Linked DNA regions of Cricetulus griseus. The main gene of each other region encodes a partner of the protein of the gene in region 3 in a complex. Links are inferred from orthologs where the notes say so. Each region holds a gene or a part of one and is shown on either strand. Other genes may lie near its edges.

Region 1 (5,997 bases), on a different chromosome or scaffold from region 3:
AGGGCCCTTACAGGACCCACAGAGATCTCTACACATGTGAAGCACTACGAGATTCCTTCTGACCGGGCGTTGGTGGCGCACGCCTTTAATTCCAGCACTAGGGAGGCAGAGGCAGGCGGATCTCTTCGATCCGCCTTTGAGGCCAGCCTGGTTTACAAAGAAAGTTCCAGGAGAAATCCTGTCTCCAAAATCGTTAAAAAAAAAAAAAAAAAAAAAAAAAAAAATTCCTTCTGGTATTCTGATAAACCCTCCTTACAGCCTGTGTACAAATTCAGACCCTAGGGTCTGGAAACACAGCTTGGCTGAAAGCATACAGCCTCATAATGAACAGGTCAGTGTCTTAGGGCTTGACCAAAGCATTGGGGCCCCAAGAAGGCGCTACATGAGACCATCTCAAAACAAAAGTAGGAAACAAGTGCACAGAGGCAAATGAGAAGCCACAGGAAGTGAGGGGTGATTAGAGTTTGGCTACAGAAAGCCAAGGAGTTCCTGGAGCCACTAGAATCTGCAAGAGGGAGAATCTTCTTCCTTCCACTCCAGAGTGAGAGTGACCTTGCAGACACCTTGATTTCAGAGTGTGGCCAGGAAGTGAGAGAGTATATCCCAACTGCTCTAATCCACCAAACTTATCATTTGTTACAAAGACCATTGGAAATCTACACACTCAGCTTTGGCCTGTCTTCAGAACCCATGTTTAACCACGCCCCAAAGTTAGGAATGGTGGTTCAAGTCTATAATTCCAGCAGAAAGGAAGTGGAAGTAACACAATGTTCAAGGCCACTGTGGATTACAAAGTAAGTTGAAGACTAGCTTGGAAAACACAAGATTGTCTCAAAACTGGCTCAGTGGGTAATGGTACTTTGCTACCAAATCTCATGAGATTGGTTTGATTCCCAGGACCCATATGGTGGAAAGAGAACCAACTCTGGAATGTTATCCTCTGATCTCCACATTCTCACTGTGACATGAGATACCCCTACACAAACACAAATAGATAATTATATGTAATAAAAATGGGGTGGCTGGGCGGTGTTGGCGCACACCTTTAATCCCAGCACTCGGGAGGCAGAGGCAGATGGATCTCTGTGAGTTCAAGGCCAGCCTGGTCTACAAAGCTACACAGAGAAACCCTGGGAGGGGGGGCGCACGACACTGAATTTCCCCTGCTTCAGTATCCTAAATGCCGGTATTCAGGCCTGCACCATCACACCTGGCACTTTAGGACTGCTTTTGGGGGCTTTGGTGGTACTGGGAATCTAACCCAAGGCCTCAAACTTACTAGGTAAATGTTCTACTTAAGCAATATCCCTAGTTCATGATCATCTTATTTCACTGCTGGGAACAGAACCCATATCCTCATCCACGCTGAGCCCCCAGGCAACTTAGATAATTACAGCAAAAGAACACAAACTGTAAAGATTCCCCTGGAATAAGATGAGCTTCTAAGAATAAAATTGGGTGTAAGGGATTATGTGGGATCTAACAATTATGTAAATATAATAAATTGTATAAATAAAAATGTTTTTATCTGGGTGATTGTGGTGCTTGTCTTTAATCCCAGCACTAGGGAGGCAAAGGCAGGAGGATCTCTTGTGAGTTTGAAGCCAGCCTGGTCCACATAGTGAGTTCCAGGATAGTCGAGGCTACATAGAGAAACTCTGCCTTAAAAAAACAAAAATAAATAAATAATAAAAATGTTTTTGTCAAGTTCACAACCCAAGCCACCCAGAACTTTGTCTTGGCGACTGCGGCAGGCTCTGCCCACATCACCCAAGCTTTACTCTAGCTTTCAGTCCTCCTACTTCAGATTACCAAGTGTTGTGCCCACAGGGAAGCCGGCGCCACCACAGCCAGCTTCCCAGAACACTTTCCAGGGTAGGCCCAGGTACCTCCAGCTTACCTAGGGGCCTGGGGTCCTACAGAGCTTCGCATCCCTACTAGTCCTAAATTCCTAATCTGTGAAATTCCCCTTTCCCTCGTGTGGTCAAGGAGATCCCAGCTCTGCCCAAGTCCCCAAAGGTGCCCCACATATGGGCACCAGACACACTTCTTTCTCCTGTGTTTTCAAAGTCAAGGCAAAGAGAGGCGAACCCATCTGAACGGACTGCTACAGGATTGCTACACACATTTCCCTTCCCAACACCCCATTTACCAAGGAGGGGGAAATGATTCCCACAGGCCAAAACCAATCCAGTTCTCTTTGGTGGCCCCTTAAGAGCATCAGTGAACGAAACCCTGGGAGACAAAGACCATGAAACAGAATAGCAAAATGACACTGAGGAATCCGCCAGAAGAAAGTAACAAGAGAAAGAATGAAAGGTGGAAGTACAAAGCTTGGGGGTGGGGGGTTGCCCTTCGCAAACACACTGTGATTAACCCCCTTTCCCCCACTGAAATGTCAGTTTTTGAAGCCGCCTCTGATAATGTCACCAGCTTCTCACGTCCTTAAAAAAGAAGACAGGAGGCGCATGTCGAGGGAGGTGGCGTTACCTCTTGACTTCTAAAGCCGGCCATCAGCAAGCCGGCCTGCCCCTCTTCCACGTTTCCATGCGGGATGGGGGTGGGAATCTTTATCTCTGTGTCCAGTTCTAAAGTTTACCAATCGAGAGGTGGGGGGGGGTCCCGAATCCCAAGTCCTTCTCCACAAGGGCGGCACCCAGTCTTCCCGGAGCTCCACACTGAAAGCCACTTTTCAAATGTCCCTATGCGTGTGTAGAGGATGCCCCCTGAGATGAGATCTACAAACCACACCCGCTCAAGAGCCCTCTCAATCGCTCCCTCTCCCCAGGCCCCTCTGTATCATCCCCCCTGAATCCTCGGGGCCCCACTTCCTGCCACGACCCCCCCCCTTGCAAATCTCAGGCTCCCGACTGTTTCCCGCGCCCCTCTTGGGGTTCCTTGGTCCCCGCGCACGCCTTCTCTGCCATCTCGCCGGCGGGCTCAGGGAGCCGCGTGCACTAGCTCGGCCCGAGTCCCCTCGCCCGCCCCCTCCCCCGGCGCCCGCGCTGCCGGCCTCGTGCGCCGCCGTCCCCAGGGTGTCCCCAGCACTCACGGCTGTAGAGGGCGATGCCCGCCGCGTCTGGTCCAGCGCGCACCTCGAGGCGCAGCGCCTGCTGCTCCGCGTGCCGCTGGATCTCGCCGTTCGCGTCGCCAATGGTGAGGAGGCGGGCGCCGGGGAACACCGACACTGTCGCGCAGGGCCCCGCGCCGCCCGGGCCCGCCACCCCCGCGCTCCCCGCACCCGGCCCCACAGCCGTCGCTGCCGCCGCTGCCATCTTAGGTCCGGCTCCAGGCCCCGCTGCCACCACGGCCACCGCCACCGCCACCGCCGCACCCGGGCCCAGGCCGCCCGCCGCCGCCGCCGCGCGCGCAGGCCGAGGCCGAGGCCGAGCCTGGCAGCGCGCCGCCTGCCGGCCACGCGCCGCCTCGCCGCCGCCGCCGCCACGGGCCGGGCTCGGTGGCGCAGCGCCCCCTGCTGGCGCTTGAGAAAGCCCGGCGAGAGCGAGCACGACGTGGGTGGGGCCGGCCCCACCCCGCGGGAACGGTCGCTGCTTTGTGAGGTGGCTTAAGCCGCCCCGGCACGCCGGGTAAAGGAGCCTACGTCGAGAGGCGGTGCTTAGCGCTATGGCACGCCCCCAGGGGCGCTAGGCTCCGCCCCAGGCCGCGTTGCGTGTAAGCGGCGCTTTGTGCCACAGCGCAGCTGCTCTGGAGAGATGGGCAGGGCATGCGTCAGGAGGCGGTGCTTGGCCTGCCGGGCACGCCCCCGGAAGGACCCCAGACGGCCCCGCCCCCAGGCCGGCGTTTTGTGAACCACCGCGCTTTGTAGCACCGTGTGCGTCAGGGGGCGGCGCTCGGCCGCTCGGCCACGCCCCGCCATGCCACGCCCCAAGGCGGGAAGCACGCGAGCGGCCTTGCCTTGTACCCACACTGCAGTAGTTCAAGAAAGGTGGAGGGCCTTGAGTCTGGGACCCGCGTCCGACTAAGAAGAAACGCCCCCTCGGTGGCTGGGCTCCGCCCCTAGCCGGCGTCCTGCGATAGACCACGCTCGGGGGTGAGCGCTCGGCCACTAGGATACGCCCCGAGGAGAGCTGGCTCCGCCCCAGAAGGGCCTCGGTTAGTAGCCAAAAGCCGGCGCTCTGAGGGCGTGGCAGAAGCGTGAGTCGAGGGGCGGTGCTCTGCCTCGGGAAGGTCGGGCGTCTCCTGCCCAGGGTCCCGCAAATGACCGCTCCTGGGCCTGGGGAATCTGGAGGATGGTTTCCAAATTTGGTGCTAGGCCCCGCCCCCTGCCTTAGCCAGGCGCTCCGCCTTGTCCTCTTGCTGGTTGGAAAAGGACCAGCGATAAGGGGCAGGCTTGCAGGCTATCTGTGGCCCCCGCCCCATGCTGCTCTACTATAAAAGCACTTTGAACCCACCCCCCCCCAGACTTTGGCATTCTCATTGTATTTCAGTCTTTCGTCCCAGGACCTTTGCTTCCCTCCAGTTCACTCTCAGGTCCCCCAGTGATGGCTAGATACTGTGTTCGACAGTGTCATCTGCTGTTAACCTTTTGCTGGGCCGTTTGGGACCTTTCATTTACTCTTGGTCCTTAAGACCCATTTTTTTCCGGGGGCTGGAGAGATATGGCTCAGAGGTTAAGAGCACTGTTCTTCCAGAGGTCCTGAGTTCAATTCCCAGAAACCACATGGTGGCTCACAACCACCTTGAATGAGATCTGGTGCCCTCTGCTGGGCTGGCGTGCAGGCAGAAGACTGTATAGACTGTATACATAATAAATAAATAAAATCTTAAAAAAAAAAAAAAAAAAAAAAAAAAGACCCATTTGTTCCCACGTTCCTGGTCACAAAACTCCATTCCCTTCCTGCATCCCCAACTGAAGTTCAGTGGTATGGTACTTCCAAATTCATCTCCCTCCCCACCCCCAAAGCCATGCAATCCCAAATTGAAAGATTACCTGAGGCCTTAGGGTTGTTACTTTAACAGGAGCTATGCCAACAGGATTCACAAAACACCCAGCCTCCCACCTCCAATGGTACAAGCCCGTAATCTCAGGCAGAAACAGGATGATGTGATATCTGGGCCAGGCTGAGCTACAAAGTGAAATTGTGTCACTAAAAAAAGAAAAACATACACCCGGCGGGCATTGGTGGTGCATGCCTTTAATTCCAGCACTTGGGAGGCAGAGTCAGGCAGCCTAGTCTACAGAGTGAATTCCAGGAGAGCCAGGGCTACACAGAGAAACCCTGTCTCAAACAACAACAGCAGAAACATCCTAAAGTTGGGCATGGTGGTGCACACCTTTAATCCCAGCATTCTAGAAACAGAGGCAGGTGGATCTCTGTGAGTTTGAGGCCAGCCTGGTCTACATTGTGAGTTCAGGACAGACAGGGCTACACAGTCTGAAAGTCAGGTGCAGCTGGGGAAGTGTGGGAGAGGAGGTACAGAATGTAGACCTTTTATGCCCAGCTGGGTGTCCAGATGCAGTGGTGACACTTCTCTGGCGATCTGTCACCAATCCAGGGAACCTACAAAGGGGCTCTGGCTTTCTGTCCAGCCTCTAGGCTGATACTCTCTTTTCCTTCTCTTCTGTGAGGAAGGTCACAACACCAGGAGTCCCCTTCCTCTGGCCAGTCCATCCCCTTAGAAAGCCTTGGCTTAACCCCTCCATACTACCAAGTCTCTGGACAGATGTCCAGCTTGTGCATCTGTGGGCAGTGCGACTGGGAGAACAAGCCATCCTCATTCCTCTGCCTCACTGGCAGGCCCGGAAAGTGCTGAACTCAGGGAGCTCCGGAGAGGATGGTGTAGAGGTGGGCGTCTTTTGAGGCCCTGAGTTGCAAGGATGCATATCCAGGGTTGCCACCAAGTCTTCCTGAGTCATTTTCTTTGTCCATGGAAGAAAAACAACTGAGTGATTTGGGATGTGAGAATCTGGGAGTTCCCTATTCCAAATTCTTAGGTGCCCTCTCATCCCTTCCCCCCACAGCCCCGTATCTCAAC
Region 2 (5,983 bases), on a different chromosome or scaffold from region 3:
GCCATTAGGGAGTGGCTCTATTAGGAGGTGTGGCCTTGTTGGAGGAAGTGTGTCACTGGTAGTGGGCTTTGATGTCTCAGATGGTCAAACCAGGTCCAGTGTCTCCCTCTTCCTGCTGCCTGCCGGTTCTGATGTGGAACTCTCAGCTACTTCTCATGCGTCAGGTCTTCCTGTGTGCCAACGTGCTTCCCGCCATGACGACAATGGACTGAAACTTTGAACTGTAAGCCAGCCCCAATTAAATGTTTTCCTTCATAAGAGTTGCTGTGGTCATGGTGTCTCTTCACAACACTAAAATAAAAACCTCAACTAAGCCAACTATTGAGAGAAAGAAAACAGTTTGGGCCAGGAGACCCATGGCTCTTTATAGCACAGTCACAAAGCACCTGCCTCTACCTCCCAATGTTCCGTTGCATGAAGCCCCGCCCAGGAAGGTATCCAGTCATTCTCTGCCTATAATATCCTGTCCTATTTAATCTTTTATTTTTGTAATTTTAAAACATGCATTTTTATTTACATGTATGAATGTTTGCCTGCAGGTATACATGCATACATTTAGAACCTGTGAACATCTGGTATCTCAGAAGACAAGAGAAGTGTGTTGGATCTCCCACAACTGGAATTATAGTTGTGAGCTGCCATGTGGGGACTAAGAACTGAACCTAAGTCTTCCTCAAGGGTAGCCAGTGCTCTTGGCTCCAGAACCATTTCTCCAGTGCTTCTCTGTTGATCCCAATCCAGCCCCTTTCAATCTCTTCGACTTGGCTTTGTCATCAGTGGCCTTTCCGGAATGAGTGGATGCTCCTTTCATAGCTCCTCCAAGTAGAAGATAGGATTAGGATGGGGACAAGATCCAGCCAGAGCCAACCAATTCTTCACTAGGGGCAAGAATACCACATTCTTAAAATGAATAGAACCCATGAATGGCGAGGTGGATCAGTGGTTAAGAGCCCTGGCTGCTTTTCCAGAGGACTGGTTTTAGTTCCCAATCCCCACATGGCAGCTGGCAAATCACCTGTGACCCAGTTCCAGGGCCTCTGATGGCCTCTTCTGGGCTCAGGCAGGCAGTGTTTAATTGATAGCGGGTCTGGAATAAAGAGCACTTTATCTGCAGAAGAGGAGCCGGGAGAATTCAATGCTCTGTATTACTTGAACTTTCACACAATCTTTCACTGGAATCTCCAGCTAACTCCTGCTTGATCTGGAAAGCCCCTTTCCTCTCTCCCCAAGCCCCGCCCTCTCAAAGAATCTCCAACAGAGAAAAGCTGCCAAAAAGCCCAGTTCCGCATTCTTGGCAGCTGAGGCAGCTCCTCCCCTGGAGTTGCCAGCTGCCCAAGACCCCACCTAAAGTTGTCAGCTTTTGACCATACTTGGGACACAAACCCAGCTTGTGGAGGGCGTGTCATCGACCCTCGCCTACAGGGTATATAAGCTGCCTGCCTTAGCTCGGCTGCCTTATAAGCATTGCAGCTCAGACAGTAGGGAGCCAAGGGGTACCACAAAGTCATTGTAAGCGCAGCAGCTCAGGACCCTGCTCCAGGGAAAGGTTTCCCAATGACACAGCTCTGCTCTGACAGGAGCAGGCTTCCCCAGCCAAGCTGTACAGTTCTGCTTCACTAGGGAAGGTTTTCCCGGAGAAAGTCTTACAGTTCTGCTCCGCTTTGTTGAAAAGTTGTTGTCTCCTCCGCTCCATTCCAGCGGAAGAAGATCTCACCCAAACCTCATTCAAGAGATTTATTGGTAGGAAAGAATCTAGAAGGGTGGCTGCCTCCGCCAGGGCGGGAAAAGGCAACCAAGAACTGAACAGGCCCTGGGGTGGAGATTATCAGGGTGGGCATTGGTCGGATTTGAATCCCTGAGTTTGGATAAGATCAGTGATTGGTTGGTTTTCCTGCTCAGGGATTGGTTGGTTTTTGTACTCGGCCAGTCAGAGGCAGAGTGTTTCTTTGGTTCTGGTTTCAGGGCCAGGGTGTGTTTCTTTGGCTGGACCTTTCACCCTCCACGCGTGACCTCTCCGGCCCCGATGTCTGGGGCTGAAGGACTTACCTGGCAGTTGCTTTCTCAAATAAGCCTGTTGTTTTGCTTTTCCAGTTCGGCTTGGCCCGGCTTACCTACTATCCCGTTACAGAAAACCTACTGAAAGTGTAACTCTGGTGAGGTGGCGGTGGATACTCTCGCAAGCCTCTCATCCCTGTCTTTGCCTGTCCTGTTCGCCTTGCTTGATTCATTCCTACATCCGACTCAGTGCAAAGCCGGGCTCGACACACAGTGAGTCAACGTCTGGCGCACTACGACGCCAGATGAGAGCTGGCCTTTCTCAGGCCAATCTAAAGAAAAGCACCATTATTTCCTTGCGAAGTTTTTGTCTGGTAAAGTTCCAATGACATCATTACCAGCGGACACGGGTCACACCCGTGCAGGGCGAGCCTCATCCGAGTTGAAGCTTCCTCCACACTCACGCTTCTTCTTCGCGCCAATCTTCACCCTCAAGGCGCAGCCACCGGGCGCGAGTTTGTGTCCGCCGGCCCGCCGCACGCATGCGCCCGGCGCCGGAGCCGCCTGCGCGCGCAGCAGGTCAGACTCGGTCGGGCAAGCCCCGCCTACGCGCCCCGCGTAGGCTTTGCCCGAGGCGGAAGTTAGTGGGCGGGGCCGCGCGGGTCGCCCCGCCCAGGAAGTGGGCGTGAACGGAGACCCCCCCCACACCACCTCATACACGGCGGACTCAGCCTGCCAGTCGGGTTGCGGCCGAGGCCGGTCCTGGCTTTGTAGCTCTCTCAAGATGGCGGCGCAGTCACCCAGCGGGATCCGCCTCAGCGCGGTGAGCAGCCGCGAGGGGAGGAGCGGCCGGGTCCCAGGAGGGCGGGCGGCGGGCGGTGGCAGTGGGCGCGGCGGCCGGGGGTCGCGGTGCGGCCGCGGAGTCGCCGCCATGTCGCTCGGCTCGCAGGAGCGGTGGGCGGCGTCGGTGCGGCGCCGGCGCGGAGCCGGCCGGCGGGGCGGACCAGGCTGCCCAGCCCCAGCCCGGCCTCCCTTCCCGGCTCCGCGGCCGCCGCCCGCTGTCGTCGCAGCCGCGCCCTCGCCCGCCCTGCCCGGCCCGGCCGGGATCGGATCGGGGGCGGCTGCGGCGCGGGCGGGCGGCGGGCGGACTGCGGGCGGCCCCGCTGCGGTGCCTCTCCCCCGGCCGTGCCCGGGCCTGCGGTCCTCCCGGGGACCAAGTTGGGAGTGGTCGCACAAAACCACTCGCACTTGGGGTCCAAACACCGTGGGCGTGGCTTCCGCACCTGAGGATTCCTCCTGCGAAGTTTTTACGCTCGGCGGGCACCGAGGCCGCCCGCAGGCGGGGAGAGCCCGGCTTCCGCAGCCCGGGGCTCCCGGTCGGAAGCGCGGCTGCAGGGGCTGCCCGGGATCCCCGCGCTCGGGCCAGCGGAGCCCGCAGATCCTCGAGGGCACGGGGAAGCCCTGCCTCCAAAAATAAAATAAAAAAAAATAGGCTCTCGGTGTTAGATTTCATCGCTGAGCGTACGGGTTTCCAGAGGTTGTCGCTGGCACAAGAAGGAGGCATCTGCGGCCCTCCCTCCTTCCCACCCTCCCTCCCTCTCCCCGCCCGGTCCATTCATTTGGCCATGCTCGCCCTGCAGTGCTCTCAGGCGGGATGGGATGGTCCCAAGTGGGAGTGAGGTGTTACCTGGCTTTGTTGCCCCTGCCCGTTTGTGAAGTTATCATTCTTCACATCTGTTTTGTTGTTGTTGTTGTTGTTGTGTTCTAATTGCCCGTTCGTACAGATTGCCCATTTTTCTCCACATTTATTTATGTGCATGAGTGCTTTGCTTGCACGTGTGTATGTATGTTACCCACCCCTGTGCCTGGAGACCAGGAGGGACTCAGGTCCCTTCACTTACTGAGGGAGTGAGTTGCCTCGTGGGGTACTGGAAACTGAACCCTGGTCCTCTATAGGGCAGTAGGTGCTCTTACCACCAAGTCATTTTTCTGGAGTCCATAGTTTGGCCATTCTTGCTTAATCCCCTTTCTTTTGATTACATCTTCCAAGTTAAGGACCTTTAGTTACATAGTTTGTTTAATGAAATGGTCTTTAGTAGTTAAAAGAGAGTAACTATTCCTTTTTTTTTTCTTTCTTTCTTTCTTTTTTCTTTTTTTTTTTTTTTTTTTTTGGTTTTTCGAGACAGGGTTTCTCTGTATTGTTTTGGAGGCTGTCCTGGAATTCTCTCTGTAGACCAGGCTGGCCTTGAACTCATAGAGATCTGCCTGCCTCTACCTCCTGAGTGCTGGAATCAAAGGTGTGCTCCACGAACGCCCGGCTAACTTTATTTTTTCTTTCCACTGGGGTTTAAGCATTCTGCTCCCCAACTGGGTTAATCTGACACTCACCACTCTTAGAGCCAAGAGTTGTTCCCAGGGAAATAGTAGAAATTATTCTGTCTGAGGCCTGGAGAGATGGCTCAACCTTTAAGAGCACTGGCTGTTGAGAGGTCCTGAGTTCGACTCCCAGCAATCACACCAAGGCTCACAACCATCTCTAGTGGGATCTGATGCTGTCTTCTTCATAAAGGTGTACGTGCAGTTAGAGCACTCATACATAAAAAATAAATATTTTTTTAAAAAAGGAAGAAAAGAAATTATTCTGTGTAAATTATGGGTGGCCAAGGTCCTGGACCAGGGATATAAATTGCCCTGAATAGTGAGGTGGTGGTGGGTGAGGAAGAGGCAAAGCTCTGTGAACTCTTTTAAGTTTCAGGCTATCTTGATGTGCATAGATGAGTTACAGTCCAGTCAGAGTAACATAGTAACCGTTTCTCGAAAAGAAAGATTGAAATGAAGCAAGCAAACAAAATTCCTTAAAGTTGGCAGTGTTGCCCCATGGAGTGTTCTTGAGACCCACTGTAGCACTGTAGTAAAGTGCATAATTACTAGCTGACCCTGGGTGTGGCAGTGGTTAGAGGGCTAATTTGGCACAGGCTCTTGGAACCTCAGAATTTTTTTCGACTGTCTGCTTTTGGTTCATGACTAGTTGGTATAGTATAACTTACGAACCAGATCCAGCCTGGCACCTGTTTTTGTATGGTCTGTCATCTAAAAATGAGCACTCAAAATGGTTGGAAAAAAATTCTGTGATGTATGAAATAAATGTTAGTTTCCATAGTCCTATCGGGGGGATACCATGTGCATTAATTTTCCTATAACTGTGAGATCCTTGGGTTAGGAGAGAATCTAAAGATGAATGGGCTTTGTAGTTATCAGCCTTAACGTATGCAGACTTTATTTAGAAATACTCACCCTCCCCCCCAATCCAAGTCCTTGGACATGCTAGGGAATTATGCCATCTCAAACGCTCTTGATAGACCTTTTAGAATGTGGAGTGCAGAGAAAAAAAATAATTGTTTCCATCTTCTCTAGTTGTAAGTGAAATGCTCAGACCATTGGTTGCTGTTTGTTGTGTTCTCTCCACCAGAGAGGTCCTGTGTGTCAAGCTGGCACAGGCTGACACACTGCTCCCATGAAATGCATGCTGCCTTTATTTACTTTCTCTTGTTGGAGTTGCTCTTTTCTTTTCAGATATGCCTGCTGTTGTGCTGTGATTGCATTTTCTATACAGCCTTTTATTTTCCCTGGTTAGTCGTTGGTGTATATTTTGTTTGTTTTTTTTTTTTCTATATATATATATATCCTGATCACTTTCTAAAGGACATAGAAGTCTTTTTCCAGCATTTATCAGTTAGGAGTACTTGGCTGGGTAGTGTCTTGGACTTCCTCCCTTAGTGAACACTTGTCTAGTGACTGACATCACAAGCTGGGCCTGCCCTCATGACCTCATCCTGACATAGGGAATTGGACATGTGACTTTAAAGGACAAGGCACTTAGTTTCTTTTGTACCCAGAGTTCCATTCTGAATGATGAGTTGCCCATACAGGATTGTTTTAGGTTTTTGAGGAACCACCATACCATGTTCCCTGGAAGCTGTACATTTTA
Region 3 (5,316 bases):
ATGCCTCTGGTTAAAAGCACTGCTGCTTGTCCTTTATTTCCCATCTGTCAGGCAGCTCACAGCCACCTGTAACAACAGGTCAAGGGATCTACCCTCTGGGCCTTGCACACTGGCATTATTGCATGGATATGATGCACATGCATGCACAGATAATACATTAATCTTTTTAATTACATAACTAACTCAAAGATAGCTTCTCTGTCCCTCCAACATTCCAAAAATCCCCAAAAGATCCCCAAAACTGGATGATTTCAAATCCTATGTATAACCTGGGTGGTCAGGTGGTTTTATGTGCATTAAGTAGTAATTTATAACTTAGACACAATATCAGACTGCAACAGTAAAGGAGGTGGTACAGTTAGAACAATGCACTTTTGTAGTCCTAAATAGAGTTTAAACCTAGCGTCTCCTGCTTCCTTGGGTAAGCACTCTATCTACACTGAACTATTCCCCAGCATTATTTTAATGTGGGTGGTTTTTTTTTTTTTTTTTTGAGACGGTCTTTCTATGTAGTCTGGTTGTTCTTGAAGTCACAGATCTGCCTGCCTCTGACTCCACAGCGCAGGGATGAAAGGTATGCATTACCATGCCTGGCCAACTTGTCTTGAACGTGCAGTTTTCTTGCCTCTACCTTCCTGAGGTGCTAGCTTGCATTGCTGGCAGAGTATACTGTTAATAAAAAGTTTAAATTTTATGAAATGTGTGTCAGGTATGATGGCTCACACCTGTATCCCTAAGACTGGAGGCTGTGGTGGGAAAATGATTTAAGGCTAGCATGGGCTAAATTGAAACCTAGCCTCAATAAAAATAAAGTGTTTACTTCTAGCTTTTCCATTTAATGTGTTCAGATCATGGTTGGCAGTAATGAGAGTTGTAGAGATGACGAAACAACTGAAGGAAAAGGAGTATGAATGTAGCTCCAAGAGGTAGAGAGATTGCGGATAATTGGGAACTGACCAATGTAATAATGCTTAGCTTTTACCCCAAGTCAGAGAGCTTGAACTAAAATGTTTTTATATTAAGAATGGACAGTATTGAAGCAGAGTCAGACTATAAATATGCTAGGTGTGGCAGTTCACAGTCTTTAATCCCAGCACTCTCAGGAGGCAGAGGCAGGCTGATCTGACTGCAAGGCCAGCCTAGACTTCAGAGGGAATTTGCGGAAGAGCCAGGGCTACACAGAGAAACCCTGTCTCGAAAAGCAGCAATGTTATAAATAAATTAATATCTATTCATAAGTTGCTTTTTCTTACCATTTCAAAATTGTATTCCTTGTGTTAAAAATTAATGTGACAAGTGTTTATTTTGATACAGGGTCTTACTATTTAGACCTTGGCTTAGAAGTCAGATTCCCTGCTGGGATTGAAGGCATTTTATACCCTGCTGGACCCCCTTTATAATTTTAGTGCTATAAAGGGATTTAGGAGCATTTGGTAAAAGATTTGGGAATATATGTGTGTTCAGTAATCTTCCAGAACACAACCCCTAGAAGCAAACAGTCTCAGATACATGACCCCAGTGGTACTCCCAGAACAGATTTTTGTTAATATCTTTGAGGCAGGGTCTTGCTAAGTTGTCCAAGCTAGCCTTGAACACATGGATCTCCTGTTTCACCCTCCAGAGTAGGTAGAGTCCTACTGTAGGCAGAGCTGGAGAAGATTTAATGAGGGTTAGGTATAAAAAGCAAACTAACAAGCACTGAACATGTACATGAGAACCAAGCGTTACATGGAATGAGATATCTCTTAGCAAGTTAACTGAAGGGTATTAAAAGCTGACTGGGCCGGGCATTGGTGGCGCATGCCTTTAATCCCAGCACTCGGGAGGCAGAGGCAGGCGGGTGTCTGTGAGTTCGAGACGAGTCTGGTCTACAAGAGCTAGTTCCAGGACAGCCTCCAAAGACACAGAGAAACCCGTCTCAGAAAACCAAGAAAATAAAAAAATAAAGCTGACTGGTGTGAATGCACAGGAACTGAGGTATAACTTAATTACCAAGAACGTGTTCCTTCAAGGAATCCTTTTTGAGCCAGAACTTGGATATTAAGACTCCTAAGTGTTAAAGACATAGGAATAGTAAATTTTGCATGAAGCTAGATTTTTATAGAAGTATGATACTAAGGATTCCTTATGGATGAAGATGGGGCTGTAGAGTTAGCTTCCTTAAGTGCTTGTCTTGCAAACATGGAGGCCTGAATTCAATCCCTAACACCCATGTAAAAAGCTGTGTGGTAGGTGCTTGTAAATACACTGAGAACAGGGGCTCAATGGTTAACCTGCATAGCCTGGCTCACTAGTTCCAAGTTTCTGTGCTGGACTCTGTCTCAAAAAACAAGGTGAGACTGGGAAGATGGTTCAGTCATTAAAGTGCTTATCATACCAGCATGAGGACCTGGGTTGAAATCCCCAGTACACACAGAAAGGGGCACAGTGTCTTTCATCTCAGTGCCAGAGAATTGGAGATAGGCAGATCCTTGGAGCTTGCTGGCTTACCAACCTAGCTAAATTGAAGGGGCTCCAGTTTTGATAAGGAGCTCTGTCCCAGTAAATAATGTGATAAGAACTGACAAAGGAACCCAATTTCATCTCCTCTCATGCACACACACAGGTGGCTCCTGAGGTTGCTCTCTGGCTTCTGTGTGTACACACAATGCCTTCCCACTCAAATCCATACATACACAAAGGACGAAGTTACCAATGTGAACGAAGGGCAGCACCAGTGGTAGAGTGCTTGCTTAGCATGCACAAAGTAATTTATAAAAACTTTCCAGATGTGTATATTTTATGTTGAACCATATTCCTCTTCACTTCCTTTGTTAGTATATATATAAAGCAGAATCTTAGTTTTGTTGTGTGACGTATTGGTGAAAGGGGATGCCACTAGGCTACATTGTACTCCAATTCCTATCCTGGGAATCGTAGGAACATCTTTTAAAATGAAGCTATTTATTTGTGTGTGTATGTATACATTCCACTCAGAACAACCTGCAGAAGTTGGCTAGCCGCCTTCCATCCTGTGGATCCCAGGGAACAAATAATGCCAGCATTTGAGTTGTAGGCAGGGGTCCCAAACTTTGGGTTCTCTCATGTCTCGTTACAATTGTCAATTAATGGTTCATGCAGCTAGCAAGTTTGGGGTGGTAATGCCCTGGGGAGCTGGGCAGTGTTGGTGCCCGGCTTTAATCCCAGGACTCAGGAAGCAGAGGCAGGTGGATCTCTTGAGTTCCAGGCCAGCCTCATCTACAAAGTGAATTCTGCTCAGGACAGGCTCGAGAGCCCAGTCTCAAAAAAATGCCCTGGGAAATCTTACAGTGAAAGGAGAGGGGAAACAGGATCAGCATTCTAGAGGGCAGGAAACACCATTATGCATTGAGGATTTGGAAGAAAGTACTTTGAAGCTGGTTACACAGATAAGTCAACCAATCGATGATGTATTCTGGAACCCTTCCTTAAGTACTCCTGTAGAACTGAAAGGAGAACAAGAACAAGGTTCAAAGTATAAGAATGTGGACAGGCTCAGAGGTGAGGGGGACCTGTTCTTATTGCTGCTGCCGTGGTTGGTGTCAGCCTTTGGAGAGGTGTTGGGCTGCATACAATTCCCTCTGTAAGGGTGGGAATGTTAGAATTGGTTTCTTTGAAGTGTCTTGGTGCTTTGTATGATTTTATAAAAATTTATGAACTTATGCTGGATGGTGGTGGTGAATGCATTTTAATCCTGGCATTCCAGGGGAGATATCCTGGTCTACAAAGCAAGTTTCAGGACATCCAGGGCTACACAGAGAAATCTTGTCCAAAAGGGAGGTGGGGTATGAGCCTAAGCATTTTGATAGTTTTTGGTGTGTGTGGGTGTGTGTGTACACCGTGTGATGTGAACATTTGATAAATTAAGTTGTGATAAAAAAGTAAGTTTGTAAAGGGTTTTACTATTATATAAGTGTTGGAAACAATAGTAATTTTTCTTTATTTTGCAGGAGGCAAGTGAGGCCTATCTGGTTGGCCTTTTTGAAGATACCAACCTGTGTGCTATCCACGCCAAACGTGTAACAATTATGCCAAAAGATATCCAGCTAGCACGCCGCATACGCGGAGAACGTGCTTAAAAGTCCACTATGAGGGGAAACATTTCATTCTCAAAAATTTTTTTCCTCTTCCTGTTATCAGTAGTTCTGAATGTTAGATATTTTTTCCATGGGGTCAAAAGGTACCTAAGTATATGATTGCGAGTGGAAAAATAGGGGACAGAAATCAGGTATTGGCAGTTTTTCCATTTTCATTTGTGTGTGAATTTTTAATATAAATGCAAGATGTAAAGCATTAATGCAAGCAAAATGTTTCAGTGAACACATTTCAACAGTTCAACTTTATAACAATTATAAATAAACCTGTTAAAATTTTCTGGACAATGCCAGCATTTGGATTTTTTTAAAATAAGTAAATTTCTTATTGACGGCAACTAAATGGTGTTTGTAGCATTTTTATCATACAGTAGATTCCATCCATTCACTATACTTTTCTAACTGAGTTGTCCTACATGCAAGTACATGTTTTTAATGTTGTCTGTCTTCTGTGCTGTTCCTGTAAGTTTGCTATTAAAATACATTAAACTATACCTGCTTTTGGTCTTTATTATTAATCTCACAGATAAAAATTTAATATCCAGTGATTATCAGCTTTTGTGTGAGACAAAACTCTTGAGAAGCAAGGCAGTGGTGTCACATACTTTTAATCCCAGCATTCAGGAGGTAGAGGCAGTTGGATCTCTGAGTTTGAGGCCAACCTGGTGTACAGATTGAGGTCCAGGATAGCCAAGGCTACACAGAGAAACCCTGTCTCCAAAAAGCCTCTTGAGAGACATAGAAAAACAAAGTCATCAGCTGGAGTGTCTGGAGAAACCCAGAGTACAATCATAGGCACATACTATCAAATATCTAATATGGTTTCTCACTGCAACAGTCCTAGCTGTACTGGAACTTTGTAGACCAGGCTGGCCTCAAACTCACAGGGATCTCCTTCCCCAGTGCTTCACCACTGCCCACTGGTCTTGCTTTTTTTTTTTTTTTTTTTTTTTTAAGTTATTCAAGCACCAAACATTCATTAACCCGTTTTAATTAGCATTGCAATGTTTAAGGTAAAATGTGTGGTGATGGGCACTAATAACACTGAAGGAAATGAAATACTAATCTTTGGGCCGAAAACAGACTATAGTCAACAAGGGCAGTATCTGGTGGGTTTTTTTTTTGTTTTTGCAGAAACTAGATTATAGGTGTTTATGAAAATTGGCTGGAACCAGGTGGTAGTACCGACTGGGTGTGGTGGCTC
Region 4 (6,002 bases), on a different chromosome or scaffold from region 3:
AAGTTGTGTGTAACTGTGCCTTAAAAGAAACACACCAGCCTCCTTTCCAAAGGGCATACACACAATAAGGGATGGTGAGAGGACTGTGAGGGAGCCAGAGGGAAGCCTGCCACGTTTACCTGGATGAGTGCTTTCAGGTTATTCACTCCTTCCTGCAGCCCCAGCTCCTTTCTGCTCAACTCGGCCTCTTTAGCCTCTTTCTGAGCCTAAACAGAAAAGTTTCATCAGACTTCATGGCAACCAAGAAATAACGAAAATACACATCCCCCCCCCCCCGCCCCTTCTACAGCTGGAGACACATGGATAAAATTGCATGTGGTTTTCATTAGAAGATGACATACACTGCTCTGGTTCCAATATGCCCTTTGGTTTTATCCCCAGCTGTACTTCCTAGAGACACAAACCAGGTGTTCACACAAAGGAAAACAGCCTACTAGGTGGATGGGGAAGGTCACATAGCCAGGGACGCCAGGTGTCAAGATTCTTCAGGACCTTCAGCTGAAACCCCATTTTGTACACAGCACTGGTGGCAGCCTTGTGAACCCCAGTGGTTTAAAGGCTCTCTCTGGAGCTGGCTCACTAGTTAGCAGAACTTCTTGCTTTTCGAGGACATGCCGGACACCTACATCAGGTTGCCTGTCACTCCAGCTCCTGGGAATCACAGCCTCTCAGCCTCTCTGGGCCCCCACACTCTTGCACTCCTAGCACACCAGCAAACACACACACACGCAGTTTTCTGAGTAGTTAGGAAAAACATTAGCAAATTCAGTTTCAGCCTTTCTTCAAAGGCTTTAGTCTGACTTCAAAGCTGCCTTCATTTAACAAAATTTGCCAAAATACCAAAAGAACACCTAAAGGCAGCAACTTCAATAATATGAGGCCCTAATTCCTTGTAAAATTTTCTAATAAACAAAGAATTTCATTAATACTGGGGATAATAATAAATTGGGATCTTGTTATTCTGGAACAAAACAAGTTTTGCTTTATTCTCGCCTCTCAGCCCCCCTCAATCCTTTCACACTGGTTAGACAGCTTTCAAACTGTCATTCCCCCTTCAAACTCTCAAGTTTCTCAAAGTAAAATTGTATGTCTGAATCCAGCTGTTCTCAGTTTTACCTGAGAGGATTAACAAGCAGCGGGCATGACTCTAAGCAGATGTAGCCATGCAATGAAATGACTTCTTCCCTCAGAGCAACAGACATGGCAGTCTCTTATCTGGGCAAAACAGGCCCTAAACTCACTCCATCCACAAAGGTCAGATTTCTCTGCAATTTCATGTATCCAAAAGCTCTGGCTCTTTGCCTGTCCACTTGAGCCACAAAAAAGACAATTCATGTACCCACCAGATACGTAAAATCTTAAATTGCTGGCTCCCTGGGAAGCTCTCACTGTGAAAGCCAAGATGAAGCAACTATTGCTTTAATAGCAGTCCAAGGCAATATCAACACAGACATTTGCTACCTTGAATTCCTATGCTACCATCCCTACCAACCCTGGCTTAACAGGGGTATGAAGAATCACAAGTCCCAACCCTCAATTCCTCAATTCTCAGCAATCAGGTGTTCCTCAGAATGGGGGCAGAAAGACTCACTTCAAGTGTGCTTTAAAAAAAAAAAAAAAAGCAGCAGCAGTAGTAGGTGGGGTCTGGAGAGTTACTCCGTGGTTACACAGAGACCAGAGGTGTAAGATCCCTAGGAGCTGAAGTTAGACAGTTATGAGCCACCCAACCCTGGTGCTGGAAATTGAACTTGGGTCTCTGTAAGAGCAGTACACACCCACTGAGCCACCTCTCCAGCCCCTTAGTTTAAAGTTTTTAATAACTATATGCATTTACAGAATTAAAAAAATCAATCTCTGTTTTCTCCCGCTCTTCTGAGCAGTTTTGGAGACTTAACTCAGGACCTACTACATACTAGACAACCAATCCAGCTCTGATTCACACACCGCCAGCCTGACCCCAGAAGTGGCAATTTCTTAGTCTTGTTGGTGCTTGAGTATCAGGAGCCCACAGTCCAGCATTGCACTCTTAACAGCCATACCATCTTCTCCCTGTTCACCAATCACATAGGGACCACAGTGTTTGCCATGTAACCAGGCTCCTTAGATCTCCCTAGGACAGCTTCAGCAAAGCTGCCCCATGTGAAAGGTGTTTCAGAGTCACTGTATGATGATTTCAAACAATCCATAAAGTAAAATCATTATCAGCACAACATACCAAAAATAAAAAAGAAGAAGAAAACAAAATAACCAGGGTTTTCTTCATGATCTGACAAGAATATCTAGTAGATGAGTGCCATAGGTCAAGCAGCCCATATTTCAGCAGTCTTTATTTCCATCGTTGTAAATACTCCCAAGATCCCTTTTTGAAACAGCCGAGATAGGTTATGAACAACACTCAAACTTACCCTCCTTTTCCTTGCATTCATCTTTTGTTTGGACTCTTTGACGAAGGCATTGTAGGATGGGACCTCTTTGGCATCAATGGCTTGTTGAATGATGTTTCTTATCCTGGGTTCGTCTGTGTATTGCACGCAAAGCACAGACTCCATAATCTGATCCATGTCGCCCTTGAAGTCTAGGTAGGCCTGCTTAACATCAGCTAGCTCTTCTTCAGAGCCTTTGTATGTATTTTCAAAAGCTTGAATGTCCTCTAGCGATATCTAGTAACAAAGAAGATCGCTTTAATTCGAGAATTGTCCTTGTGGGCTGGACGACGGGAATTAGTCAAAGCCACTAAAGCCCTTTTTACCTTTTTAAAGAGTAACCTCCAATACGCGTCCCAGTCCCGGTCTTGGTCGAGGCCAGCAGATTCCTCGTCCACTGTTCCCTGTTCATCGTACACTGCTCTCTGCTCCTTGTCACTCAGAACCGCATAGACTCTCCCCAAGATCTGCAGGCAAGGAGCACCCAAAGTCACCCTGAATCTCTCGCTGACACCGTGCGGCTACAAATGCTTTAAAATGCCAGGCCGGTTATCAGCAGTGCGCTGTCCCGGGGGTGGGGGTCTCCGCGAGAGCGGGAGGAGTCGGGGTGGCCGCCCGAACACGGGCCCACACACGTACCTGGAAGCGGCGGGTGGCGTCCTCTTTCTGGTCCTCGTCTACACGGTCGGGGTGCACTTGCAGAGACACCTTGTGGTAGCCGCGTCGGACCTCACCCTCGGAAGCCTCGCGCCGCACGCCCAGCACCTGGTAGAGGTCGGCGGTGCCGAACACCTGCTCGCATAGCTCCAGCAGCCCCATGACTGGGAAGAGGCTGCTCCGAGAACGCCGATAACCAGCACCCACAGCCGCTCCGCCCGCCCGCCTCCTTTTCCCGCCCAAAAAAAAACACTGGGCGTCTGCGTCACAGGAGGCGCGTCGTGGGCGGGTCCAACCGCGCTTTACGGTAGCCGCAAAGTGGACTCGATCACGCCTGCGAAAGTAAAATACCGCCCTCAGCGTGCTGACGGCGGAGCCTCCTGCCAACCAGGGCGCGTCCTCTTGGCTCGCGACCCTGCACTCCTCCTTACCCCGAAAGCTGCCTCCGGGTTTCCTGCACAGAAGCTCACTCGATGACACCTGAGATATATAACTGTTTCCCAATAGAAAGCGGTTACTCGGGCTGGCCAGGATGCTCAGCCATACCTGACGACCTCCAGGACCCACACACACATCACACAAAATAAGTAAACGTAATAGAAGTGGCCATGTGTTAGCGTTGAGAAATTTAACATGCTCTACCCACAGATTAATGTGTGTGTGATTTTAAAGATGGTCCTCTAAAGCAGTACAACTACAGGGTCAAAAGACATCATCTTGGATGAACCCCTGAATCCCTGCAGGAAAAAGCCTGTGTGTAACAAAATGCAAAAGCTTAGTTTTTAACTGCCAGGATAGGCTCCAAAGCTACATAGAGAAACCCTGTCTCAAAAAACCAAAACAAAATATCTTTTATCTCCCAGGGCCATATATATTTGACAGTACAGAATTAATCCCATTCGCCTGCTCCAGTCACATTTTTGGTGGACCTAATATTGACTCAATCTCTAATTTTTAACATTTCAGTGGTTTCTCAGCTTTTCCTCCTCCTAGTATCTAAAAACCAAAGCCAATTAAAGTCAGTCCCGAAGGGCCCAGGCCCAGGACAGGAAGATTTGGTGGACTTTGCAGAGCCCCCACCCCACCCCCCCCCCCCCCCGTTGAGGGCCCTACCCTGCCTGAGGAGTGGTGGGTGGATGGGGTGGGGCGTAGGTTGGGGGTGGAGGAGGAGAGATGGGGGTGAGGGGAGGGAGAGGGGGAAGGGACTTAGATGTGAAACAAGCTTGTTCCCTAACTTGAATTAATAAAAAAAAAAAGTCAGTCCCTTTCTACTCTCAAGGTGTCCTCATGACAAGTGAAGGAAAACCAGCAGTCACACTGGAGAGCCTCAACACAGAGCTTAATTTAATTAGCTAGTAAATGTTTTCAGAACCCTAATAAGACAAGCCAGAGCATTAGCTTCCTTAGATTCTTCCAGAACCCCCGGATTAGGCACAAACCACACCCAAACATGTTTTCACAGAGATCCTTTATTAAGCGGGAAAGAAAAGTTAAAGTGGCTGCTTTCTGACTCAGGCAGAAAAACAGCAGCAAATGATCTTGCTGATGTAATTTTTGAGAAGAGAAAAAGGGTTAGAATGTGTCATATATTTTAGTTAGGCATGTTAATTGGGTGAACCAAAAGGGGCTTTTGATTGCTGAACTTATTTAATACTTTGATAGCCAGACCTTGGTAATCAGCCTCAGGGGGAAGTGGCCAAATAAAAGAATAGACCTTGGTGGCCAACTTTAGGAATATAATCTAACGGTTTTTAGCAAGGCAGAGGGAATTGGGGAGAAGGGCAAGGCCTGCCAGAGTCACAAGCTCAAGTGGGCTAGGGTCCCTTCAACATGTAATTCATACATATAGCTGTAAAGTCCTATTGTCCTGGTGAAGCAGATGTTAGATTTTATTTCATACAGCCTCCGATTTACATACCAAACTCAGGATACCCAAACACAATTCTATCACTGACCATCTTCTGTGTATGATGTGTGTATGTGTGCACATTGACATGTGAGTACATGGGCATGTACATGCTACAACACGTGTGGAGGCCAGAGAAAGACCTTTATTTTGGACCTCTGCACTGTGCACACCAGTTGGCCTATGTCTGAAAATTCCTTTGTCTCTCCTGCCCATGCTCCTGTAGAGGATGCTGCCTGCTATTACACTCTTCCACTTCCTGTTACAAGACTTCAAAGAATTTGAAATCAGAACTTCATGGTAAAACACTGGTACCCCCTGAGCCACCTCCTGGACCTCTACCACTAACTCTGGAAAAGCTCTCTCTTATCACTTCTTCTCTCATATAAGCAACAACGTGTGTAGGAAGACTCTGTAGGTAGACATATGGACTCTGAAGAGTTTCCTACTCTTGAGGTACAGTTTCCCTCCTCATCTGTGAACATGGATATAACTGAACTACAGTTGTGGTACTTGTAATACACAAGCAACTTCTCCGTACAGAGTTGACTATACGAAGGGGCTTTGTATTAGCTTCCTTCTATCTACTCTCTTAAAAGGTGGTAGAACTCAGAGGCCGAGGCAGGTGGATCTCTGAGTATGAGGCTAGCCTGGTCTACAGAGCCAAGTTCCAGGACAGTATGGGCTGTGACACAGAGAAACCCTGTCTTGGGGGTGAGTGGCTAGGGTATTAAGGCCCCAAAGCAACTTTTACAACCCATCTTTGTAAACCTGAGATCATGTATCAAGAAAATAACATAAATCTCCACTAACACAATTACTAAACAAGGTAACTTCTTCCTGAGCTATGGGACGATCCCAAGTGATAAAGGGAACTTTTGGGTCAGGCAAGAGTAGCTCTACCTGAAATCCCAGAACTCAGGAGACCTGACAATCAAGGCCAGTCTGGTCTACATATCACATATAACAAGCAAGCAAGGGGGATTGCAGAGCAAGAAAACATTTGAACAGCCCAA

What was found.
Region 1: the proteins of histone H3.3A (region 3) and Carm1 are in contact, whole or in part, in a crystal structure (PDB 5DWQ), measured with the Homo sapiens proteins. The link is inferred for Cricetulus griseus from reciprocal best matches to the Homo sapiens genes H3-3A and CARM1. Residues at the interface, in NP_001365972.1 of Homo sapiens: Gly14, Lys15, Ala16, Pro17, Arg18, Lys19, Gln20, Leu21; in NP_954592.1 of Homo sapiens: Gln148, Tyr149, Phe152, Tyr153, Gln158, Asn161, Met162, Asp165, Glu257, Pro258, Met259, Gly260, Tyr261, Glu266, Val340, Leu412, Thr413, His414, Trp415, Tyr416, Ser447, Lys470, Pro472, Phe474.
Region 2: the proteins of histone H3.3A (region 3) and Morc3 are in contact, whole or in part, in a crystal structure (PDB 4QQ4), measured with the Homo sapiens proteins. The link is inferred for Cricetulus griseus from reciprocal best matches to the Homo sapiens genes H3-3A and MORC3. Residues at the interface, in NP_001365972.1 of Homo sapiens: Ala2, Arg3, Thr4, Lys5, Gln6, Thr7, Ala8, Arg9; in NP_056173.1 of Homo sapiens: Pro406, Asp407, Gln408, Thr409, Trp410, Val411, Gln412, Trp419, Asp424, Leu429, Pro430, Glu431, Trp433, Glu450, Glu453.
Region 4: the proteins of histone H3.3A (region 3) and Dnajc9 are in contact, whole or in part, in a crystal structure (PDB 7CJ0), measured with the Homo sapiens proteins. The link is inferred for Cricetulus griseus from reciprocal best matches to the Homo sapiens genes H3-3A and DNAJC9. Residues at the interface, in NP_001365972.1 of Homo sapiens: Ala88, Ala92, Glu95, Ala96, Gly103, Leu104, Glu106, Asp107, Asn109, Leu110, Cys111, Ile113, His114, Lys116, Arg117, Val118, Thr119, Ile131, Arg132; in NP_056005.1 of Homo sapiens: Glu196, Ala197, Glu199, Ala200, Glu201, Ser203, Arg204, Leu207, Leu209, Gly212, Val213, Leu216, Lys217, Ala219, Ile220, Gln221, Arg223, Gln224, Arg227, Met231, Phe234, Met238, Tyr242.

What each region holds. Positions count from the first base shown.
Region 1 is NC_048597.1:134,414,747-134,420,743, reverse strand, and holds the start of Carm1 (histone-arginine methyltransferase CARM1), read right to left. Parts: upstream 3,321-5,997; 5' UTR 3,276-3,320; coding exon 3,053-3,275; intron 1-3,052. Other genes in the region: CUNH19orf38 (protein HIDE1), read right to left, coding at 5,750-5,881. UniProt on the Homo sapiens protein: Methylates (mono- and asymmetric dimethylation) the guanidino nitrogens of arginyl residues in several proteins involved in DNA packaging, transcription regulation, pre-mRNA splicing, and mRNA stability.
Region 2 is NC_048597.1:3,964,536-3,970,518, reverse strand, and holds the start of Morc3 (MORC family CW-type zinc finger protein 3), read left to right. Parts: upstream 1-2,663; 5' UTR 2,664-2,779; coding exon 2,780-2,818; exon of another isoform or gene 2,819-2,953; intron 2,954-5,983.
Region 3 is NC_048598.1:13,481,732-13,487,047, forward strand, and holds the end of histone H3.3A, read left to right. Parts: intron 1-3,968; coding exon 3,969-4,097; 3' UTR 4,098-4,606; downstream 4,607-5,316. UniProt on the Homo sapiens protein: Variant histone H3 which replaces conventional H3 in a wide range of nucleosomes in active genes. Constitutes the predominant form of histone H3 in non-dividing cells and is incorporated into chromatin independently of DNA synthesis.
Region 4 is NW_023276807.1:200,586,952-200,592,953, reverse strand, and holds the start of Dnajc9 (dnaJ homolog subfamily C member 9), read right to left. Parts: upstream 3,321-6,002; 5' UTR 3,243-3,320; coding exon 3,063-3,242; intron 2,891-3,062; coding exon 2,750-2,890; intron 2,661-2,749; coding exon 2,406-2,660; intron 207-2,405; coding exon 120-206; intron 1-119.